Linked DNA regions of Drosophila melanogaster. The protein of the gene in region 2 purifies or fractionates together with the protein of the main gene of each other region. This does not show direct contact. Each region holds a gene or a part of one and is shown on either strand. Other genes may lie near its edges.

Region 1 (6,795 bases), 4.9 Mb from region 2:
ACGCCCCCAAGTCGCCAAAAACAAAGGGGCGGTGCTGCTATGGTCGAACTCATCTGAACTCGAGCGAAAAGTCGACGACGGATGAAGCTTTTGTTCCCGTTGACTTGATGCCGCGGCGTTTGTCAGGCGATTAGATAACATTTGCCATTAATTGCCGGCAATTAATTATGGAGCTCCGCTTTAAAGTAGTTATTATAATACCGAACTGTCAACACCTACTTGTGATGGCCGAGAGGAGCTAATGGCCCTCCCCCTCCCTTCAGATGCTCCAATCTCCTTCCTTGCCAGCGATGGCATTTCAGTTGCTTTCTAGCTAAATGGCATAATAACCACAAAACCCATTTAACCTTCATGAAGTGTTGTGTATATCACACGAATATATTAATCATTCATTATATATTGTTTTCAGCGCTTTTTAAAGTACTTCGAAGCATCTTCTCAGATGTATGTATCTTTAATGTGAATGGTGAGTATTTTTGGCTGAAATATCTTACTTACTTAATTTTCCCAGAACTGTTAGCTACTATTTTGGAGTTTTTCCCCAAGCCAGCATCATCACCACCACTGCACCCCCCCCACATTCCTCATTTGGGTGGTCGGCCACTCGGACTCGGGGAGTTGGAAACTCGTTTGTCCCGCTTCACGTGGATGGGATGTGTAAATGTATGTTAATTTGGCGATCGTTAAATACGAAAATTTGTTGGCTTTATTGTCAGCTGAGACCGGGCTCTTTGTCTTTTGCATCTTTAATTGGTTGGCTGGTTAAGCCATATGGTCTCGATCTGATTTGTTAGCGTTAAAACCTGTGGTAGCTTTGCGTTGGCTTCTTGTGTGGGGCTCTTAAATTAGCGTTAATCGGCCGGACATAAAGGCTTAATTGCGGCTTATCGCTGGCTACAGCAAGTTGATAACAAGGAAATGCCGTAATAAAGAAATTAAAATGGCTGAATACACGGGGAGAATGTTTCTACTTCTTGTTGCACAACATTGTTGCAGCTAAAGCATCAGCAAACACTTGGGATATGTTTTTCGGATTCCCCAACCCCATTTTTCAAAAAAAAACATTGGCACAATTGGAATTTAATGGAGTCAATTTGGTGCCTGGTGATGCATAAACTGGCCAAAAGCAGTGGATTGGTGTGAGCACTCTCTTGAATGCAAAGAGCTTCCAATGGAAATGGAATGCTGCAGATGCTGCACTGCACTGGCAAAAATAAAGGAATGCCTATCTATTATTTGTAGCTCCAGCTGGCTACGATTCTTGGTGTGCAACTGCAAAGCCTCTGCTTATATTTCTCTCAGTGTACTGGCCAAGTTGCTCCTGCTGGCCGCTAACAATGCAGATCAAGAGATGAGCGCGTCCATTTCGGTCTGCGGATCGCCATTGTTCCGCTTGGCATGTTGTTGTTTTAGGAGCTCGCTAAAAAGACAAATGTGGTGTGCGGATGCGGATGTGGATGCGGGGGAGTTGCTCCTGACTTAGTAAGGCTCTCCAGTTCGAGCTAGTAAGCCAGCCAGCCAGCCAGCGCGTGTTAGTTCCACTCGTTAAGGATTTACGAGCAATTTTTATCACTTTGAGGATCGCTGACAAATCCGGCAACAACAATGCAATGCAACATGCGCATAATAATGGCAAGTTGTCCGGCATACAGCGTGTATATAAATACATATATATATATGTGCTGGTTGGGATATATGCCATGGCTATGTGCTATGAGCCATGAGACAGGAAGCGCACTCGGCTGTCTCATCGTTGTCGCTGATGTGGCCAAAAGTGGCCAATAAAACCCCAGCGACGATGTCACCGGGCAGCAACAATTGCAGTTGCTGTTGCAGTTGCAGCAGCGATGACGACGAATTATAGCAAAGTAATCGCAGTGGACTCTCCAGTTGCCAGTGCATCCTTTGTCCACCTGGATCATACCCTTTCAAGGAGTAGGATATGCCAAAGCCAACTCTGAACTACCATTTATATATAAGTATTACAATCATATCATATCATGCCATAAATCAATTTATACTCTATACTAATCAAGTACGAGGTCAATTTATATATTTATTACATTTATCTATCCACATTGAAAGCTATAGAGTATTCTGAGTTTCCCAACTTTATTTTCCTTTCCACCTTACTTATTTATTTCGCATCTTTCCCCCTTATTTTTTTTTTGTACATTTTCCTTGGCCAATATCGTTGGCGGCTTTTGGCGTTGATTTCCCTTCCAATTTATGTGACATATTGATTTTAAATTGATGATAGTCTATTTTGCGTTGGCCAGCCAACGGAGGAGCGAACAAAGCCGAACGAAACCAATTTATTTTAGCCATTTTAAATTGGCATTTTCGCCGGGTACGCAGCAGCGTTCGCTGCATTTGGCCAATGCGTTCGGGCCAGGCTCATATGACTTCATCAGCGGTTTATTGTCGACGGAGACGAGCTGGCTGGATAGCTTATGGTCTTCTGGGCGTCTGAGCTTCTGGCCTTCTGCTTTTCTGGCTGGGAAAATGGCAGCATACTGGCCTGCCTGCTCCATTCATAGGTGCGCATTTAAATGCAAATTTAATTCAATTAATGATGCATCAAATGCAGCCAATGCCTAATTGCCATGCGATGATCGTCGTCGTCCATGTCCCGCGTATTTATTTTCATTTCATTTCGTTTTATTTCATTTACTTTTTCTATTGCCCATCCTGCAGGATTCGCAGCAGAAGCCGCAGCTGCCGCTTGACAATATGGATGATTTAGTAGTCGCTGCCGTTTGGTTGTCGTGTCTGAGGCACCATAGGCGTAATTAGACAAGCATTGTGCAAAAGCGTTAATTAAAAACCACAGAGACACACAGCCAGTTGCCATTTTTCCACCGACTATTGACTGCCAGCTGCGCCAGCGCCACGACTTCAATCTCACACTAGGAGATACATTTGCAGCAGCCACAAAACTGTAGAAGTTCACTGCTCATTTGCTCTAAAAACTATAAGATACATTTCGGAAAAAATGTAACTATATTGAACAGTTTATGAAAAGTTACTACAAGATACAGTTTAAAACTGGTCAGCTTCATTTTACAGACTTTGCTTTAGAATCTACCCTTTAAAGTGCACAGTTTTTTTTTAATATGATTTACTTACAATTTCTTTCATTTAATGTAGAATGTATTCCTTTGCCAAAAGATCTTTTTTTTGCAAGTGCAGCTCCGCGGTGTCGATTCCGTAATGAGCCAGCGCATCGATTGCGTAAGTTCTCCGCGGATGCATCTGCTCCCAGTTTCCAGGGCCCATTCCCATTCCCATCTCTCGAGTTGCATGTCCCCAGGTCCTCGAGTCCCATTAGTGCACCCGTGCAGCGGGGATGTGGATGGTGATGGCGCTGCAGCAATCAGCTAATAATTTCCTCCTAAGCGATCTGTACTCAAGCATCCATGGCGCATGAATGGGAGCTCCATGCTCATGCGTATTTATGAGCTTCATGGATTCCTGTTCGCTGTCCGCCCAGCGTTGAGTGCCTGGGATTTCGGATTGATTTTGACGCCAATCGGTGGCGTCAGGGGAATCCAAATGGGATTTACAAGAGCTTATATACATTGTAGAAGCCAAAGTGTTAAAAATGTTACATAGCTCAGCCTCAGAAAAAGTTGTCAAACCTTCAATATAGCTAGCAATATCTAAAAGTTCAAAGTAAGTTTTCACATTTTCCATGCATTGCTACATCGCAAAATAAATTAAGTATCTTCAGGATGATAAGTTTCCTGAAATTGGCCAGGAATCCTGGCCAGCTGCTGCTGCCTGGCAGTGGAGTGCTGCAATCCCAGTGGCTTCGTGGCCAGAAGACCATGCCGGTGTACGATTACCGTTGCCAAAATCCGCCAAAGTGGGGCTACTCGGCCTTCGGACGCAACCAGAAGACCTGGGGCGAGTGGACCTGTGCCAGGTTGGATGACCTGCTAAACTGGGGACGCAAGGGATCCCTCTGGCCGCTGACCTTTGGTCTCGCCTGCTGCGCCGTCGAAATGATGCACATTGCGGCTCCTCGCTACGACATGGATCGCTACGGTGTGGTGTTCCGAGCATCTCCTCGCCAGGCGGACGTGCTCATCGTGGCCGGAACCCTGACCAACAAGATGGCACCGGCCTTTCGGAAGATCTACGACCAGATGCCCGAGCCGAGATGGGTCATTTCCATGGGCAGTTGCGCCAATGGTGGCGGCTACTACCACTACTCCTACTCGGTGGTTCGCGGCTGCGATCGCATTGTTCCGGTGGACATCTACGTGCCCGGATGTCCGCCCACCGCCGAGGCCTTAATGTACGGAATCCTGCAGCTGCAGAAGAAGGTAAAGCGCATGAGGACCCTGCAGATGTGGTACAGGAAGTAGAGAATATTCTTGTAAGGAGTTCAGTAAATAAATGATACCTTGTTAAGTAAAGTGTTTTTGGGGTGGTGCAACCGATAAGTAGAGTTGGGCTTAAATCGATCCTAACCTAATCCGATCTCTGCCTTACCCAAAACGAAGTCAAAGAGTTAAGCGCATCAGTTCCAGCAACTACACAAGATTCCTGGCTCAGAAAGTCGCTTAGTCAGCGGAATAGGGCTCGTGCTCACCTGCAAGGATCGGTTTCATGTCCCGCAAAGGACCTCTTGAAGCGAGTCCTGCAGACAATGCGCGGAGACAATAAACACTTCTGACGGCACTGTCTCTCAAGTGGCGATGAAATATGAAGGGTTCTTGAGGCATATGAAAGGATTTCGTTGTTTCACATTTTTTCGAGCCAGCCCGAAAATCCTTTTTGCGAATCTGGCGACACCGAGCACTTGAACTTGGTGGGAACATCATTAAATCCCCGTTCGAGTGCGGTGAGTGCATTAAATTGTGGGACAACTATCGCATTAGTGTAATCCATGTGCGACACACCCACAAAACTGGCAGATCCTCGGCTTGAATGGAAACTCTCGAGAGTGAAGGACTTGAATGAATGAGTATCTCCTCTCATTCAACGAGCGGCGAGAAAAGGACCTGCACACTCTGAAAATCTGGACAAAGGCGCAGCAGGCAGCCCGCTGATCTTCGGGGATCCTGGGAATCCTCTCGTGACTCGCACAATTCCTGCGAATAAGAATGACTGCGTGGGGAAATTAACTTGTCTCAATCGCACAGCAATAAAAATTAATAACAAAGCCACTGGCAACTTGTTCGCCTCCATTGTGCAGGCATTAAATAAATTTAACAGCTCAATGACTTGTCGAAAGGTGCTGGGAGAATCCAGGGGCTCCAGGGGCTCCTGGGTTGCTGCAGAATCGAAATCAGTGGACCGTTCGCAGCCAGGCGAGCATATCTTAATTAGCAGACCCCGGCCCACATTAACCTTAATTTTGCTCTGTTTTATTTTACCGATTTCTGCTTAATTGCGGCGCCGAGGCGCCAACGAAAAAGCTTCGCAAGTGCACAGGCAAAATGTTGTTAACAACTTGCTTGGAAAGTGAGCTCAGTTAATCAGTAAGAATATTCAAGAGAAACTCATTGATTTAAGTTGCTGCGTATATCTACATTAGTTTCAGATTTTTTTTTTCGATTTTTTTCAGTGCACTTGCAGCGACTTTTCGCTGGGATTTCCAGTGGAGTGTCCAGCGACGCATGCTCAGGATTTGCACTTGAGTGAAAAGCTGGTAATCTGGAGACGGGGCCACGACCACCGTGGTGGGTGCTACCTGCATATCCACAGCTCGCCAGCGATTGCAGCCCCTTTGCTGGGCAAAATGAGTGGGTTCGGCCAATGTTCCACGGGCAATAAATTACGTCAGAGGCAGATCGGGCAGAAATGCCCAACGAATTGTGTGTGTTTAACACCTAATCGCCCGTTATGCTCGCCATCCGATTGTGAGGTCCTCCAAAAAGTGTTCAAAAACAAAAAAAAATAAGGAGACTGACTCGCCGCCAAAATGGGTGCAACAATAGCGATTCAGAAAGCAGCATCTAGTGTTCATTCATTCATTCATTCATTCAATCGTTCAGTGCCCCAGTGTGGCACTCATTCATTCATGCCTCATAATGAAATTGTTGGATGCGTCTTCTTCGGTTCTTTCCCATTTTATTTGAGCATTGTGAGCTGGCGGAGATTTATGTTCATGAATGTAAATGCCTTCTTCAAATCTTTTTTATTGGCATTATGCGGAATTGATTTGTTGCCTCGTTGGGCTCTTTCATAAAATTATTATCACACCTTGGGAATTCGAGACCAGACCTGAATCTGATCTGATCTCCTTTCTTTTGGGCAGAGTTATTAAGCTGATTTTAATTGCGTTCCGTGCGTTTGGCTGCTTTGATCGGGTCTCGTAAATCTAATTTAGTGTTCTTCGAAATTTAGACGTTTCCTAATTATGCAACGAACAAATGCCAAAGATCTTCTTCTTCTGAGTGGGGCGATGTTTTGTGCCTTGTTTTCGATCGGATTTGATTGAAATTTATCGCCAGTGCATTGACTACAGATCCGAAATCTTGCGCTAGGGCGTTGTCCAATATGGCTTACATAAATATCTTGGCCCTGACCAATCTTGGCCCAAAGTTATGGGAAGTCGTCAGCGCGCTAAGCCGTTATGGATACTTTACAAAGCCATAACGATGAGATCTTGACATTAGTTATTCCGGGCTTGTTTCGGTCTTCCAGCGATCATTTGTTAAATAAAAGTGAAAATTTGTTATTTGTTGCACTCGGCTAGTCGTTGTTTTCGGCGATAGGAATCTTGATTTATATTATAAGTGGGGTTTATTTGAAATCAAACTTAATTTTTACGTATCTCAA
Region 2 (8,537 bases):
TCTTAAGGCTACAAAATATTAGACCTAAGCTAGTTAGAATCTAGACATTCATGTAATGAAACCAACTGAAAGAAATACGCAAAGGTTAACTTTAGGCCTTAGACATATATATACATATACATACTTATTGCTGATTTCCGTTCCCAGTTAGATATATATATATATTTTTTTGAAGAGCGTTTAATGAAAATAATATGACTAAGGACCTAGATATAAACAATGTACCAAGCAACACACTAAAACACATTTTGGTGTAGAATTTAAATTAACTACTGAGACATGTGTGAGCAAGGCGCTCAAATCGATTTTAGTTCCATATTGTTGTACGAGGTTTCATTGAATTGAAACAAGGCAGTTGAATAGCCTAAACAAATATTTTCCTTTTATTTATAAATTATGTAATAAACAAAATATGCTTTTAGTGCGATCAAACGATAACAAAACATTTTTGCATTTATCATTCCCTAAATTGGGTGGGTTACACATAAATTTGGGGACTTCACTTAATCGTAGTACCAGTCCAAGAAGAGCAGGGAGAACGACATGACCAGCAGGAAGAACAGCGACCACACGCGTAGTCCTGCATTTCGTTGAGTGGCCTGCCGGATTTGCTCGTTGGCGTCCTTGACGTTTTCCGTGGTGCCCACGACGGCACTAACTATCCTGTCGATATTGTGCTGTTGCATGGCGACCTACAAAAGGGAAAGGGAAATTTAAGAGGATTAAATGAGATTAGGACGTGGATCTATCTGGATCTAGTTAATAATTAATTGCATGCTAATAAGAGCCCGGCTTATACATCCATTGTAATCGCGAAGGATGTGGATTTTAGCGAAGCCAATTAATATTTTTAATTGAAGGATTAAGTCGACAAACATATGGGCAGCCACTTAAACCCACTAAGTATTCTTGGCAATATGGAGCAATATGTTCTCACCAAAATTAAACTAAAGATATCGTTGTTAAGAACAGCAAGGATTCCTTGGGACTTGTGTTATCATGCCATCTTACCTTTTCGGTGAAAATGTCCTGCAGTTGGGCAATGTCTACCACGTTCTTTTCGATCTGCTCCACCTCCTCGGAGACGCCCTGCAGAAAGTTGTAGATGTGTACGTTCTCCGCCTCGAAGAGCTGCACATCCTCGGCGCTTAGGGGATCGTCATCGTCGGCCTCCTGCTGCTGCTGGAGCTCCTCATCCAGAGCCATCTTGGAGGATGAGTTGTTCAGATCCGATCTGTTGGCTTTGCTTCGTTTGCGCGTACGCGGTTTGTGTTGATTGGCCTGATTGGCTTCCTTGCCCTTCTCGCCATCGTGATCGTCCACCTCGTCGCCTTCCTCGTCTTCATCCCAGTCGCCCCAGGCGTCGTTATTCCAGTCATTGTCGGCGGACTCGTCGTGGTTGCCATTTGCTTGTGAAGATGACTTCGTGGCTTCGCTGTCATCGTTGCTGACCTGGCGCCTGCCCAGCTTGCCACTGTTGCTGCCCGCCGGACGCACTGGTATCTTCTTTTTGTCCGCCGCCAGCTTGAGCAGCCTATAGGTTTCCAGTTCGTGTTGCACACGGTACTTCTTTTGGTCCAGATAGATCTGTTCCACGCTGTGCAAATAGCTGACCAGCAGGTCCAGCACGGCGTCGATGTGCTGACGCTCCTGCGGCTTCCGCTTGGCGCTCTTCCAATCGCTGCGCATCTTGGCCAGGTGCTGCGTGTAAAAGGTGACGAACTTCTCCGACTCGCGATCAATCAGATCCCGCTGCGCGTCGGTCATGTGTGCGGCGGACTTGAGGTGCTGGCCAATGCGCATGTAGGCGGTGCGGTTCTCGATCAGCACATTGCGCAGCGAAGTGATCTTGTTGCACACCTCCTTGGCCTGCTTGGCGAAGTCATCCTTTGGGCCAATTGGTCCAGTTTTTGTCGGCACTGTGGCGGGCTTGGCCTTTCCGGCCAGCTCGGCCTTGCGCTGCAGGCGCACCGTCATTACGCTGGCCTTGAAGCTCTGGGTGATGTCCATAGCTATTTGCTATAACTAAGTTTGAAATATTTAACTTTTAAATCCACATCATCGGTCCAACACAATGTGGCCGTTCGTTTAACCGTTTGCAGTGTGACCTTATGATGACCGTTAATATATACCAGTTAGCTAATACTAAAAATAGCTAAATGTTATCGATAAGCATTTCAGTGTTGGCTAATGAATTTTCACCCCCACACTTATAGGTGATTTTTCGCCCAACGGTGTACGGTCACACCATTGGCAGAGCACAAACAAAATACGTACTTTTCTGCTTCCAAAGTGTCGAAAAATCGCAGCGCAGTGAAGTCCAGTGTCCGATGTAAATGGTTAAGTAAAGTGAGTAACAAAGGCCGACACAGAAGCCGCATTATTTGCGCAGTTAGCCGACCATTTGGTAGTGTGCGTGAGTGGCTCCGTCGCAGTGCGTTGGTGTGCGTGTGTGAGCAACCAGTTTCCTTGGATTCCTCATAATCTCCATGTGTGTATATGTAACAAAAACAATAACAATTTAACCAGGCGAATGCAAAACACTCGCAAAGTTGGCCAATACCGGATGAACCTCATCATCATCATCATCTTCCACATATTCATGAGCATGGTCGGCAGTCGAAGCCCCTGAATTCCGATAGCAGCCATTCAGCTCGATTTATTAATAATAATTGCCCATTTGCTCGGAATGTATACACATTTCAGTGACTTCAATTGTTCGTCGTCATTTCACCTTGAATTGCGGGCAAGGTAAGCGTCCAAAAGTCGCTATGGATATCGTTGCGCTTCATTTACCGTATTTACCATATACTCTATAAGAAAGTCGCTCTAAATTCCGGGTGAGCCATGTGCTTTGGGTTTTTTGGTGGATCCAATAGTTACACGTCGACAAGAGAAACAATGGCTTATCTTCTTTGGGAAGGATCCCGAGATAAGCTTGTACATAGTGAGAAATTTTAAGTACTGATAACGAATTTTGAACATTTCATTTGAAAAGTGCATATCGGAAGAATATACACAGATTTAGATTTTTTTTTTTTTTTTGCTATGTAGCTTCATTATAAGATGATTGTCCAAACCAATGGAATATACATACATAAAGTGCCCTACTATTTCGGATGACTAATAATGCATGTAACCGCATCTAGGCTGCTGCCAACAATTTCCCTAATTAATTCTTAAACAACATAACAAACAATAGATGCAATGCAAGACCTTTAAACTGATTAATCGTCAATTTTGATCCACTCACACTTAAGCAACACCGCCGTTTATTTTCTATTATTAATTGCTGCTCGCCAGCGATCAAAGTTTCGCATTCGCGGCTCTCTCCCTTGGTTTTTTTTTTGCTTTTAGTTTTCGCTTTTGTCTGGTTTGTGCAACATCAGCGATCGGCGGGGGAATCACAGTCGCTGGTCTGTTGGTAGATCCATTCGCTATGGATCCCTCAATTTATTACACAATTTTGGGGGCCAGACTGTCAGTAGTCTTTTATCTATCGCGCTCTCCATCGAGCACGTTCGCTTGAACTTTGTTTCGCGTGGGGGAAAGTCGATTCCTTTCTTTCGGGTTGTAGATAAGCAATTAACTACCTTATAGATCTGATAAGCTCTGGCATAGAACACTCTTTTATTTGTAGGAAGTTTGTGCGTATTAACAATAAACATCGAATTGTGTTTCATAAATGCTCACTTCTAATATTATATGGATAATAACAATTTATGAGCTTTATTAAATCAATGTGTAAATTCTAAAACAAATTATTTTCTCTTCAGAACACTGAAAGTGAACTCATCTAAAATCGAAATGAAGTGATGTTTTCTCTTAGCAGCAGTGACTCAGAACCGAAATCTACTCTATGCGAATGTGGTCTCTCGCTGACTAAAGCTAATTATACTATTCGGCTGCACCTCAGCCCATCGTAGCAACGGCTTCCAGTTGCGGCAGGTACGGAGGCAGGGTGTCTAGTCCGCCGGCCACTCGATCAAAGCTGAGGGCATGACGCGGTGAGGTCATCAGCTGACGTACTCCGAAGGCCACGTCCTCACAGCTGCTCCGCTCGCTCGGCTCCAGCTGCCAGCAGTTGAGCAGCAGCTGGTAGAGATCCCCGTAGACGTAGGCTGGCTGCGCCGGACGCACTGCAGCCCGAATGGCCTCTAGAAGCTGTTGGTTACTTGCCACTGCATTGGCATAGGGAGTACCGCCAAGGGCACAGCATTCCCACGCCACGCAGGCCAGGGACCAGACATCAGAACGGGTGGAATGGTGATGCTGATGGCGCAGCACCTCCGGGGCCAGCCACCGGTTGTGGTCTGGCTGCTGGCGAGCAATGTTCATGTAGGGCAGCGGTCCAAAGACGCTCAGTTTTAGCTTGAAATCGCTGGTAACGAAGACGCTGTGCGAGCAGAGCTGTCGATGCACCACCTGGCAGCTGGATAGATAATTCATGGCACTGGCAAGCTCGTAGATCCACTGCAGCACTAGCTGCTCAGAGAGGGAAGTCAAGCGTGGCGACGGTGCCATCAGGCGACTCTCCACCAGTTTTCTCTTTAGACTCATGCGTTGCTGCTCGAAGATTAGGTAGAACCAATCGGGACTTGCTGATACTCCATAGAAATCTAGCAAATGCTCCTGGCGCTTCAATTGAGACAACTGACGTAGTTCTCTCAGCAACTGTGCCTGTGTAGTACCATTCAGATCGTCCAGACAGAGCACGTGCAGGGTGCAATCTCTGGCAAAATCGTTTGTGGAAACCTTTCCGGTTATAATCTCACCAAAGCGTCCGTCTCCGATCACATCGTTCACATTTAGTCGTAGTGCATTCCTTGGTATCCGTTCGTATCCTTCCACCAACTGTTGCAACTGCTGCTTGAAGTTTTCCGGCGAGTGTGGCAGTGGATCGTCCTCCACAAGGTATCCGTTATTTTCCCGCTCGATTATGGGCGTTTGCAGCGTCATCTCGTGCGTATTGCCACCAGTCAATCGTCGCCCGCGGCAGGTCTTGTAGCGCAGATAGAAGTAGGCAATAAGACTGAGCAGGAGGCAGGAGCCGAAGATCACACAGGTGACAGCTAGGGCAACCACCGAGGATTGACCCTTCTCAAAGGTGGCGTAACTAAAGTCGTCTAGGGATGTCACATGCTGGTCGTGAGTTCCACGACTGTACATCGTCTTGGTAACGCCCTCCAGTGTGCTCACCTAGAATATAAATAGTTACAGAGATATTCATTCGAATTTAATGCATTACTCACCAATCCGAGACTGATGTGGACATGTGCATCTGGTTGATCCAACGGCTTATTGGTAAATCGTCCGTAACGCTTGCCATCGCCGACCACAAAGCGCCGGGTGCGATTGTCCTCCGGTCGATCGTAGTCCAATTCGGCGGCTATGTAGTAGGGCACTCCATCTTGTTGAGCCTGCTGCCAGCTGCCCAGGAGCTGGGCATCGAATGGCTGACTCAGGGCGTTGTCCACGTATTCCACGATGACGAGCAGTTTGCTCAGCGGTCCATTGTCATTCCGAATGGGCGACAACTCGATGGTTACAGTGCGGTCAGTCCGGCTGAGGATTTTCGGCTGTGCTGGCACGGGACTTGGAAGGCCCACCTGAAATTTGGAGTAGTAATGTTATTGGTTAGGATTCTCGTTAGAATTCAAGCATTACCAACCTCCGTGGTGGCTTCTATCGAGGCCTGTCCGCATTCAGATTGACCTACTTGGGCATCCTTGCACATGGCTCTCACGGATATGTTGTACAGCGTGGCGGGATGCAAGTCTGTGAGTTCAAACTGCGTTTCCGTGCTCTGCACCATAAACTCAGGCTGCGGGAAGGCGGGCAACGAGGAGTAGGTCTTCAGGACCTGAGCTTTGATCAGGAAGTTGTCCAGTAGCTGGTTGGGAAGCACTGCCTCCGCGCCGCCGGCCAGGAGTAGTTTCCTCGCCTCGTACGCATTCCAGCTAAGGGTCAGGCTGTTCTCCGTTTTGTTCGAGATTCTTAGATGATGCGGACCCGGTTGTTTGGTCAGTATGGTGGAGTAGTACGAGTGCACACCAACTCCGCCACAATACTGCGCTTTGTTGGCCAGGCAGCGAGTGTTGCAGAGCTGTTCATCCTGTTGCTCCTGCGGCTCCAGGACATTTGCACAGAAGCACTTCTCGGAGGCCAGCACGGCATAGTGGTGACCCTGATGCTCGCAGATCTCGATGCAGGTCTGCGGTGTCTTGGCGTACACCGATTCATGGAGAAGATCCGTTCGTGCCGTGTAGCAACCAACGTAGTAGTAGGCAGGTGCTTCCTGGGGGACAGCTGCTCCTAGCGGAAGGCCCAAGCACATGGCCACGAGGCAGCTCGAAAGCCAAATCGGAATTGGGCGGTGTCCGCTGTGTGAACCGCATTCCATGGCTTGCAAATCTCGAATGAGCAGCTAAGCTCCTGCACGCCGGATGACTGATATCCGCCTGGGCTTTCTGTTGCTTCTTTGGGGGCTAGGACTGCCAATTAAACACTTTTCACGGGCAGCCAATTTAGGCAAATTAAAAACTTTTATTCTTTTTCCCCGCTCAACATTTTCCAAGCGCTTCTGCTGCTGCTTCTTCTTCCACTGCCGTTGTTGTTGCTCTCGGCAACCGTGTTTCCATTTCCAGTTGACTAATCGCTCTGCCGACGTCGACGCAGGCCGCACAACTGTTGCTGTTACTCTCCAACACCTTTGTTTACATCGCCCGCTAGTTGCAAAAGCTGCAAGTGTAAGTGGGACAACTGGTGTGTTGCGAAGATCGTCCGTATCTGGCGGCACCGCTCACACACCTGCTGGACAAGCCTGGTTCCAAACGGCATTGCCAGATGTGATTGTTATTTTGAATTTTAAATTCCCATTCAGCGCGCCAAAGTCTCGGACAACAGTTGGTCTTAATTAAGTGGCAATGTGTTAATTGGACAGACGCGATTTTGCTAACGTTGCAGCTGCCGCCGGACCAATTGCATTACCCACCTCCCTTCCACCACGGTGTCTATTCCTATTTTGCCATGTGGCGACGGCAAATGAGAGTTGATCGGAAAAGAGAGAGTACCGCTTCGCTCTCTTTTTGAGGTAGCCGATTCATTGGTGACTTGCGTGTTGTGCTTGCAGTTTGATTTGGTTGACGGTCGCGCTGGTCGTGTATTTATATTCATATTCCCATTCCGCATCCGAATCGGACTCAATTAGACGCAAGCATAACTTTTATGTGGCCTGTATAATCGGGAGTGTGGCATAATTCCCCACCGATCTCTTGTCTTAATGTGGTATGTTCTTCACTTGTTTTGGCTGCGTTTCTAATTAGAATTCAAGTGGTCAAACTGCGTAGCGCGACAAAAGTTGTCGACGTCATCACAACGCAGCTAACGAAATTAATTTTAATGTGTTCCCTTCCTACGGCTTACATACGAACAGTCAACTGTGCTGAATTCGTTTAACCCGATTTGGAAACCCTTTGAGTACACATTCGCCATTTGGTGTGATAAAACCCAAAAGGAACAAATGAATAAGTGATCGTGTTGCAAAAAAACAACACATCAATCAAGAACTTTAATAAGGTCAATAAAATCACCGAAAGACCGGTTTCCGATGAATTTCTTTCCAAGTTATTTTGAGTATCTGAAATAATTGAATATGTTTTCTCCATATGGGCTGTAAAATACACCGTGAAATCTGTTTTAATGTTGAAAGTTTAGTCAGTAGTAGTAGTAATAAACCGGTTTTCTTATCATTTAGTAGCCGTAGTTTCTAAAGTGACAATCAAAACCATATGCCTTTAAATTGTATACTTGTGTCTTCAGCCGAATCTGTTTAGTTTGTTCCTAAAAACAGTTGATTTTATAAGCAACAACTATAGTTTGAAAACCAGATTGCCATATGCTAATTGAATGGTAAGGTTGTATCTAAACATTGATTACTGATTGATTACACATCTACCAAGTACCATTCCTCGGATAGATTGGTACATACATACATATGTACATATATCCCACGCACCTGAACAATCCGCTTACATAGTGCCCCACTGCCCCTTCGGTTGACGTTGACATCTTCTGCGATCGGGGAGCAGCGCATGTTTGGGTTTATTTTTGGCCACCTCTCATAATTGCAGGCCTTTCTGTCCGTCGCTCGTGTCTCGTGGCTGTGCCAAATTTAAATGAACTCACGGCGCAGAGGCTTGCGCAATTAAATGTTGGCCTAGACTCGCAAATTTTCCCTTTGCCGGAAATGGAAAAATCGCTGAAAAACAGAGCAGACATTTTCTCCATACTTATCTAGCTGTCTGTTTATGCTTGCAGTTGACAGGTCGAAATCCAAAAGATTAATAAGAAAGAATTTCCCAACGGAGGCAAAAATAGCCGGTAAAACAGAGACAGCAAACGGAATAGCAGACAAGGATTCCAAACACCATAATGGGCGGATCGGCAGTGCAGGTGATCAACGCCTCCGAGGAGCACACATTTGTGCTCAACGAGGATGCGCTGAGTGAGGTCCTAATGCGGGATGAGGTCAAGGA
Region 3 (6,765 bases), on a different chromosome or scaffold from region 2:
AGTCTATGTATGTATATACTATATACTATAAACATATATTAGTGCTCTGGGTTATCGCGCTGAGTGCAATGACGTATACGCATTAATTCTGAGCCGAATGCATTTTAATGCGAACGAGGAACTTAGCGTGCTAGACTGCGGAAATAATTCACTAGCAGAAAGAGAGGGGCATATTACATTAGACAGAGAGAGAGAGAGAAAGCTGAAGGAGAAAAAGAGATGGAGAGGCTTAAGCTTCAAACACCTTGTTCATACAGTTCGAAAAATACTACAAATTTATAAATATTTTTTATTATATATATGGTATATCTTCTTATAATTTATGTTTTATTTGATAATTTTAATATGATTAAAATTTAAATAAATATTAATCAAATATTTATATCGATTTTTAGCAAAACTGTATACACCACTTTACCATTTACTAAAATTATAAACTTTTAAATAATAAAACCCAATTTTTGTTATTTGAATGTATAAACCATATCAAATTAAAAAACATTCTGCATCTTTTCTGTGTACATATATCAACTCCCATTGTGTTCCCAGTATATCTTCATATTACATCAACAAAAAACTTGTTGTAACTCTGTAGAATGAGAACGTGAAATCCCCAATGGCTGATTTGTTTGGAGAAACAACCGGCCAAACAAGTGGAGCCGAGAGAATATTCGCAATATCAATGGTTTCTCTGGTCAGTTGTCCGAGAAATAGCGTGCCGAGCGGTCGCAAATTGCGCACGAGTTTTTAAACAAAAGCCAAAAAAAAAACAAAATAATAAATAAGCAACAGAGTGATTTGCCCGAGAAGGTCTAGATAAAGAGATACAAAGAAATTCTTAAGGAATCTTGGCATTGAATTGCTCATTTGTAATTGCCCAAAGACATATTAATTGCAATTAATTAATTAATTAATTCAATCGTAAAATGAGTAACCTAGAGCATATTACGCTGGAAATGGATAAAGTGCCACTAGGAGATAATAAAACTTTGGTGAGAAATACAGTGAGTTAAAGTTTCATTATCATTAAACTGGGGGAAGGTAAACAAATTTAAAAAAACCGGTGATTTATTTACTTTACGGATAGATCGTTAAAATGTCTATTTACCTGTACAAAAAACTTATATATGTATATAGTTTCGCACTGCTTGTTAATTTTTGTGTAAACTGCGGAGAATTTCATACAATTTTTCGTGAAAATTAATAGCTCAGGCGGAAAAAACCCGTCACTTAATTTTAGAAATAAATTCATAGTTCTGCATTTTTTAAGATATACGATTTTAAAAATTCATATTAAATTGCTGAACTATGAGTATTTTTACTAAGTTTTTAAGCAAACAATCATAGCTAGAGTAGCTTAATGTTTGCTGTATGTATCATTTGTCTAATTTTTTAGCTAAATAAAAGAGAAATCTCATAAATCTGTCGTTTTGCTGCAGGGAAAATCTATTTCTGTGACTCATAGCAACTGGCAGACTTAAAAAATATTTTTCAATTGCAACATTTTCTTGCAAATAGAGCATGATCATAGAATTTAGCCCAGTTACTTAATATTACTACTTTCTTATCGTTTGAAATACTATTTTATTTATGAAAAAAATCACGTTTGTCGCAATTTTCAAAGCATTTGTGTCCCTGAAGCTTATCGTTTTTTTTGTGTTCGAAGTTACTGAACAGTTGTAAAACATATTGCAAGTACATAATCCTACAGATAAAAACTACTTAGCATATAATTGCATTAATCAAAACTTGCACAGAACAGAAGCTGTGCGCCGTTTGGCTAAATGAATTTGCATTTTGAGACAACAATGGATTTGCAAGCAAAGTTGTTAATATTCCGGAAATGATTTTATTGAAATTTTACAGGAAAATATCAGCAAACACAGCTATGGCGGTGCAATCGACGGACGGACACGTAATACTCTTCGAGTGCCCAGAGCAGGTTCGTATGCCAACTTATTCGTTTATCTTCAAAAAGAAACAAAAAGTTAGAACATTTTTCTGTGCTTGTCTATGTTTTTTAATTGTGCTTGTGACTAATGCTGCTTAAAACCGCGCTCTTTAAACTATTTGGGTAAATCACAATTGATGGTGTAAGTAGCTTAAGCTGGTGGTAATCGATTTTAAGTGACTTAATAATTTGCTTCATTTGTAGTTCCCGAAACCGATGATGATGACAACGACGATCGTCCCTTTGTTAAAGATGGCAATGATAATCCCGGCGTGGATGACGGTCTTTTTTCAACTGTTGGAGGCAACGGAGGCAACGGCGGCAATGTGAATGTAAACGTTCCCAATGGAGGAAGACGACCCAGTTTCTCCTTTCCGGGATACAATGGACCCGGTTTTGTGACGATCAACGGCGTGGAGACACCCATACCCGATGTGAATGCATATCAGCACAAGAAGACCCTGGCTCAGGGAATGATGGACCTGGCACTTCTCTCCGCGAATGCAAATCAATTGCGTTATGTTCTGGAGACGAGCTCACAACATCCTTACTTTTATCCCAGTCTGCTGTTCATCTCACTCAGCATTATATTCCAGGTAAATTTCTATAGGTGCAAATAATGCATATATTTGTAAAATCAAGCTTAAATATCCAATGAACGCAAGATTTGATAAGTAAATTCCACACATGTATAACTTACATTTCTAAACTATCAGAATATTCTTAAGATGATAAGAAAATTCATTAAAAACAAATATATACAAAGTAATCAAAGGTTTTAGCCCATTTATTGTAGTATAAAAACAAAGTAGTTTATCTTAACCAGATTTCACTGTTTTGCTTAATAACCATATTTTTGATGACACACACTCATAATTTCTTTGTCATTTCAGATTGCTGTGGGCGTGGGCCTTATATTGAATGGCCAGTATAACATCAAAAACGGTCACGATATCTGCCGGGCGAACAGGATCAATAATTATACAGTTAGCGGCATTTTTATAGTCACTGTGGTCAATGTTCTAATATCAGCCTTTACTGTGGACAGAGATACTGTGCCTGCTTTACCCGCCAATACAACATAGTTTAACTTGTATTTTAAATAGACTTTAGTATTATGAACACACAGATGCATCTTTAGATAATACTCACATTGTTCAAACCTTGTTAAATTTCACTCAGCGACTCATTTTTCTAAACGCAACAATGAATTGTGATAAATAAAATCCCACGAGCATTTCTCGCTTATTTAAATAACTGAAATGCTGTTTTTCTTACTTTTGGGCGTTTTAAGTAAGAAATGAATAAACTTTCTTAAATGTTATAAGATACGTTCACATTAATATTAAATACTTATAAACCAGTTGTTCTTTGGATATTCTTTGTTATTAATATTAAATTCTAATAACTCAAATGCAATTCTATTTATACTATTTAAATCAATTTTTGGCGCCAAACTATCGTTTAGTTGCGATAGTTTACGTAGTGGCATTTCACAGCACTGTGTTATAGCCTCGACACTTCACAGCACTGGGCAACAGCTGTTACAAAATAAAGTCGTGCGGAAAATTAAGCATTTTCGGCTAAAAGTCTATTGCAAACATGGCCAAGATCATTAAGGCGGTAAGTTCAAGGAACTCAAGTGAAGCACCTGCTCGAGAACCTACAAAAGAGAAATGACCGACTAATCCCCGCTTGAGTTTCGCGGCGTTTCTTCAATTGTTATTGTTATGTCATCGCTTCCTTCTGCAGTCCACAGGTTTGACTGGACTCGCCGTGTCCACCAATCCACACCACACGCTGAGTGCTCTGTATGGCAAGATTCTGCGGGCGGTGTCCAAGATGCCACAGGACGCCAGCTACCGCAAGTACACGGAGCAACTGGTCAAGCAGCGCGCCGATTCTGTGGCCCAAGTAAGATTATTTGGAAACTTTGCTAATTTGGGTTTACCAAGTGGATGGTACCTTCATCAAAGCATATGTAGCACCTATATAGACCGTGCAACCAAGATACAGATCCTTACACTTGTTATTTGTATTAAAGACTGTTATTTTCTTGATCATCCTCCAATTTCCTTTTTTTTAATACAATCTCTAACTTTCTCACCCGCAGCACAAGGACATCACTGCCCTGGAAAAGGCCGTCGGTTGCGGTCAAGTGGAGGAGCTAATTGTCCAGGCCGAGAACGAGCTGATCCTTGCGCGCAAAATGCTCGGCTGGAAGCCCTGGGAGAAGTTGGTCCAAGCCGCGCCTGCCAAGCAGTGGGACTGGCCACCAGCCCAGATCATGGAGCCCAAGGTTTAGATTCACACTTAGTACTAATTAATCTACAGCAAATCGAAATGAGAAGAGAGCAATAAATCCGTTGATAAGCCAGTGGCTTTATCAGCTAAAAAATAATTGAGCTTTAATCAAATGAATAAACCTGGAACAGCACCACAAGATCAGCCACATTCAAGCAATCGATCCACTGACGATCTCAGTTCGTTTTCAACATGCGTGCGCTTCAGTACCTTCTGCTACTGCTCGTCATCTCCATCGGCTTGGCGGCATCGGTGCCTCGCCAGCGTCGTCAGATCGATCTCACGGTTTCGGCGGAGCACGACGACAACGATGAGGAGACGGAACTGGCTCTGGAGGCCATCGCCGGGCTATGGAGCAGTGCGGACAGTCGGACGAAGATCGATGGCTCTGCCAGCCTGGTGCATCGAACACATGGAACACAATCGGGTACGGGCAGCACCAGATACCAGGCCAAACTGCATCTACACCATGACTATAAGACCAATGCGTATCCCTCGTAATCCAAGGTTCGGAGCAGGACTTTCGCGTGGGCGTGCGTATTACATTCGACAAATAGAGCCGTGAGAATTCCAGACATCAGCAGGCGGGCGGCCGGGGACAAAATCGAGCGATTGCGTGAGGAGACAGACGGCCACTGTATAAACAATCCCACTGACGATAGATAACATTTTGACCTTCTCGGGCTTGGCTTTGTTGGAAATATATATAGAACGTTTGTGAAAATACAATATACCCGCATAATGTTCGCTTTATTGATTCCATTTTAATCGCCCTCTCCGGTTTTCTCGACCGTGAAGCGGCGCGCAACAAATTTCAGCTTAAAATTACAACTAGAACAACGAATTTGCACAACAATGATGAGGTGGACAGGAGGAGAGTATATAATAAATACAAGCCATTTCTTAAGTATAAATGCCATTAGTCAAAGTGGTTTGCAGGGTGGGGGCTCCAGGCATCGGGGTCACGAAAAGTAATCTATGGTCTACTTTCATTGGAAACATTGGGTCAAGTTCGCTGGCTAAGCAATTGTTTACTAACAATATTCTGCTGCTGACAAAGTATTTTTCACAATATAAGCAAAGTTTGTCCTAGAATTCAAAAATAGTCTGCTTCTACATAAAACTAAAATCTTGATATTGCTCTTATATATGCGATTATTGAATGGAGAGTATTATTTCTATTTTATTTAAGAAAACTATTAGTTAAAATATGAAGTTTGATATTCTGTATCTTCGGAAAGTTTTTAAGTTTCTCTTATAAGCTAAATTCTTTACAATATGCATAAAGAGTACCTGGTTTTCCTATAGCTTCCTGCCGTTTCCAATGATAAGTTTTCTATAATTTACTTTTCCTGTCGTCGATCAGTTCACAAACAATTTCTACCCCCACCCCATTGAGGTTAATATCATTCTACATTCGTCCGCAAAATGCTTCGCCTTAATTCAAGTTAACTGATACTCCCTGCTTCTGCTGCTCCTTGAGTTCCTGGACGACAAAGTTGCGGAATTCCTCGTAGGCCACATCGATGTCCACGTTATTGATGATCTTGTGGAAGTTGCCGGGCGTCAAACCATAATCGAGCTCCACCTGAGCGGCATTGAGGCGCTTGCTCAGCGACTCCTCCGTTTCGGAGCCACGTTTGCGAAGTCGTCGCTCCAGCTCCTTGATGCTCGGTGGATTGTTGAATATCAGTATGGGATTGAGATCCGTACGCTTGATCTGCTCCACTCCCTTCTGTTCGATGTCCAGTATGCAGACCCGTCCCTGTGCCTGGATCTCTCTAACCGCCGCCTTGCTCGTTCCATAAAGATTGCCCGTAAACTCGGCCGTCTCGATGAACTCGTCGCCAGCGATGGCTGCCTCCATTTCCGGACGTTCCACAAAATAGTAGTGCACGCCATGCTCCTCGCCCTCACGCGGCTTCCGCGTGGTGTGCGATATGCTGAAGCCAAAGGTGCTGGGGAATTCGGCGAATAGCCTTTTCAGCAGCGTACTCTTTCCGGATCCCGAGGGACCGCATAGGACAAGGGGGCGTGGCCCGGGGGCGGTCATCTTCTTGCTCGTTAAGGATGCCGCTGCACTGCTACTGCTGCTGCTGCTGCTGAGCGCCCGATTTACAATGAACAGAAAGCTTATCATCGCGTGGCCTTTTATTCGCACAGAACAGCACCAACAACACAAATGGGGGCCAAAAAAGCTGGTTTAGTTCTTTTTGCTATTTGGCTTTGGCTAAATTAAGAGAAGTGGGCGTGCTTGTGCATGTGTGTGTGCGCCAGCGGTGGGCGAAAGTCGATACATATCGATAGGCCAAGCAGTGCGATAAATGTTCAAAATTTGTATTGAAAAAATGGTTCTTTTGAATTTGAACAAATAAGTTGAATATCTAATTGAATATTTAAAATTAAGTTATTTAAAAGCTGTATAATCTATACAAAATATTAATTGGCCGAAATGTTAATAATGTATTATTTGCATTTACATAACAAATAAGTTTAAAATTGCTGGAACT

Evidence for each region. Proteins that work in one complex are often made in the same cells at the same time.
Region 1: the proteins of atl (region 2) and ND-20L purify together in Drosophila melanogaster (affinity purification with mass spectrometry, with the first as the bait; one large-scale study listed by BioGRID). This does not show direct contact.
Region 3: the proteins of atl (region 2) and ND-13B purify together in Drosophila melanogaster (affinity purification with mass spectrometry, with the first as the bait; one large-scale study listed by BioGRID). This does not show direct contact.

Annotation. Positions count from the first base shown.
Region 1 is NT_033777.3:29,512,111-29,518,905, forward strand, and holds ND-20L (NADH dehydrogenase (ubiquinone) 20 kDa subunit-like), read left to right. Parts: upstream 1-3,606; 5' UTR 3,607-3,675; intron 3,676-3,702; exon of another isoform or gene 3,703-3,733; 5' UTR 3,734-3,734; coding exon 3,735-4,373; 3' UTR 4,374-4,417; downstream 4,418-6,795.
Region 2 is NT_033777.3:24,623,464-24,632,000, forward strand, and holds the start of atl (atlastin), read left to right. Parts: upstream 1-2,207; 5' UTR 2,208-2,349; intron 2,350-3,602; exon of another isoform or gene 3,603-3,912; coding exon of another isoform or gene 3,913-5,199; intron 5,200-5,252; coding exon of another isoform or gene 5,253-5,609; intron 5,610-5,671; coding exon of another isoform or gene 5,672-6,403; exon of another isoform or gene 6,404-6,612; intron 6,613-6,827; exon of another isoform or gene 6,828-7,287; intron 7,288-8,319; 5' UTR 8,320-8,433; coding exon 8,434-8,537. Other genes in the region: Syx18 (syntaxin 18), read right to left, coding at 504-692, 1,012-2,010; wsck, read right to left, coding at 3,913-5,199, 5,253-5,609, 5,672-6,403. UniProt on the Drosophila melanogaster protein: Membrane-anchored GTPase that mediates the GTP-dependent fusion of endoplasmic reticulum (ER) membranes, maintaining the continuous ER network. It facilitates the formation of three-way junctions where ER tubules intersect.
Region 3 is NT_037436.4:10,690,806-10,697,570, reverse strand, and holds ND-13B (NADH dehydrogenase (ubiquinone) 13 kDa B subunit), read left to right. Parts: upstream 1-3,462; 5' UTR 3,463-3,553; coding exon 3,554-3,574; intron 3,575-3,703; coding exon 3,704-3,865; intron 3,866-4,064; coding exon 4,065-4,256; 3' UTR 4,257-4,387; downstream 4,388-6,765. Other genes in the region: NijA (ninjurin A), read left to right, coding at 927-1,004, 1,867-1,942, 2,156-2,547, 2,845-3,036; CG33493 (uncharacterized protein), read left to right, coding at 4,448-4,756; CG11811 (uncharacterized protein), read right to left, coding at 5,694-6,395.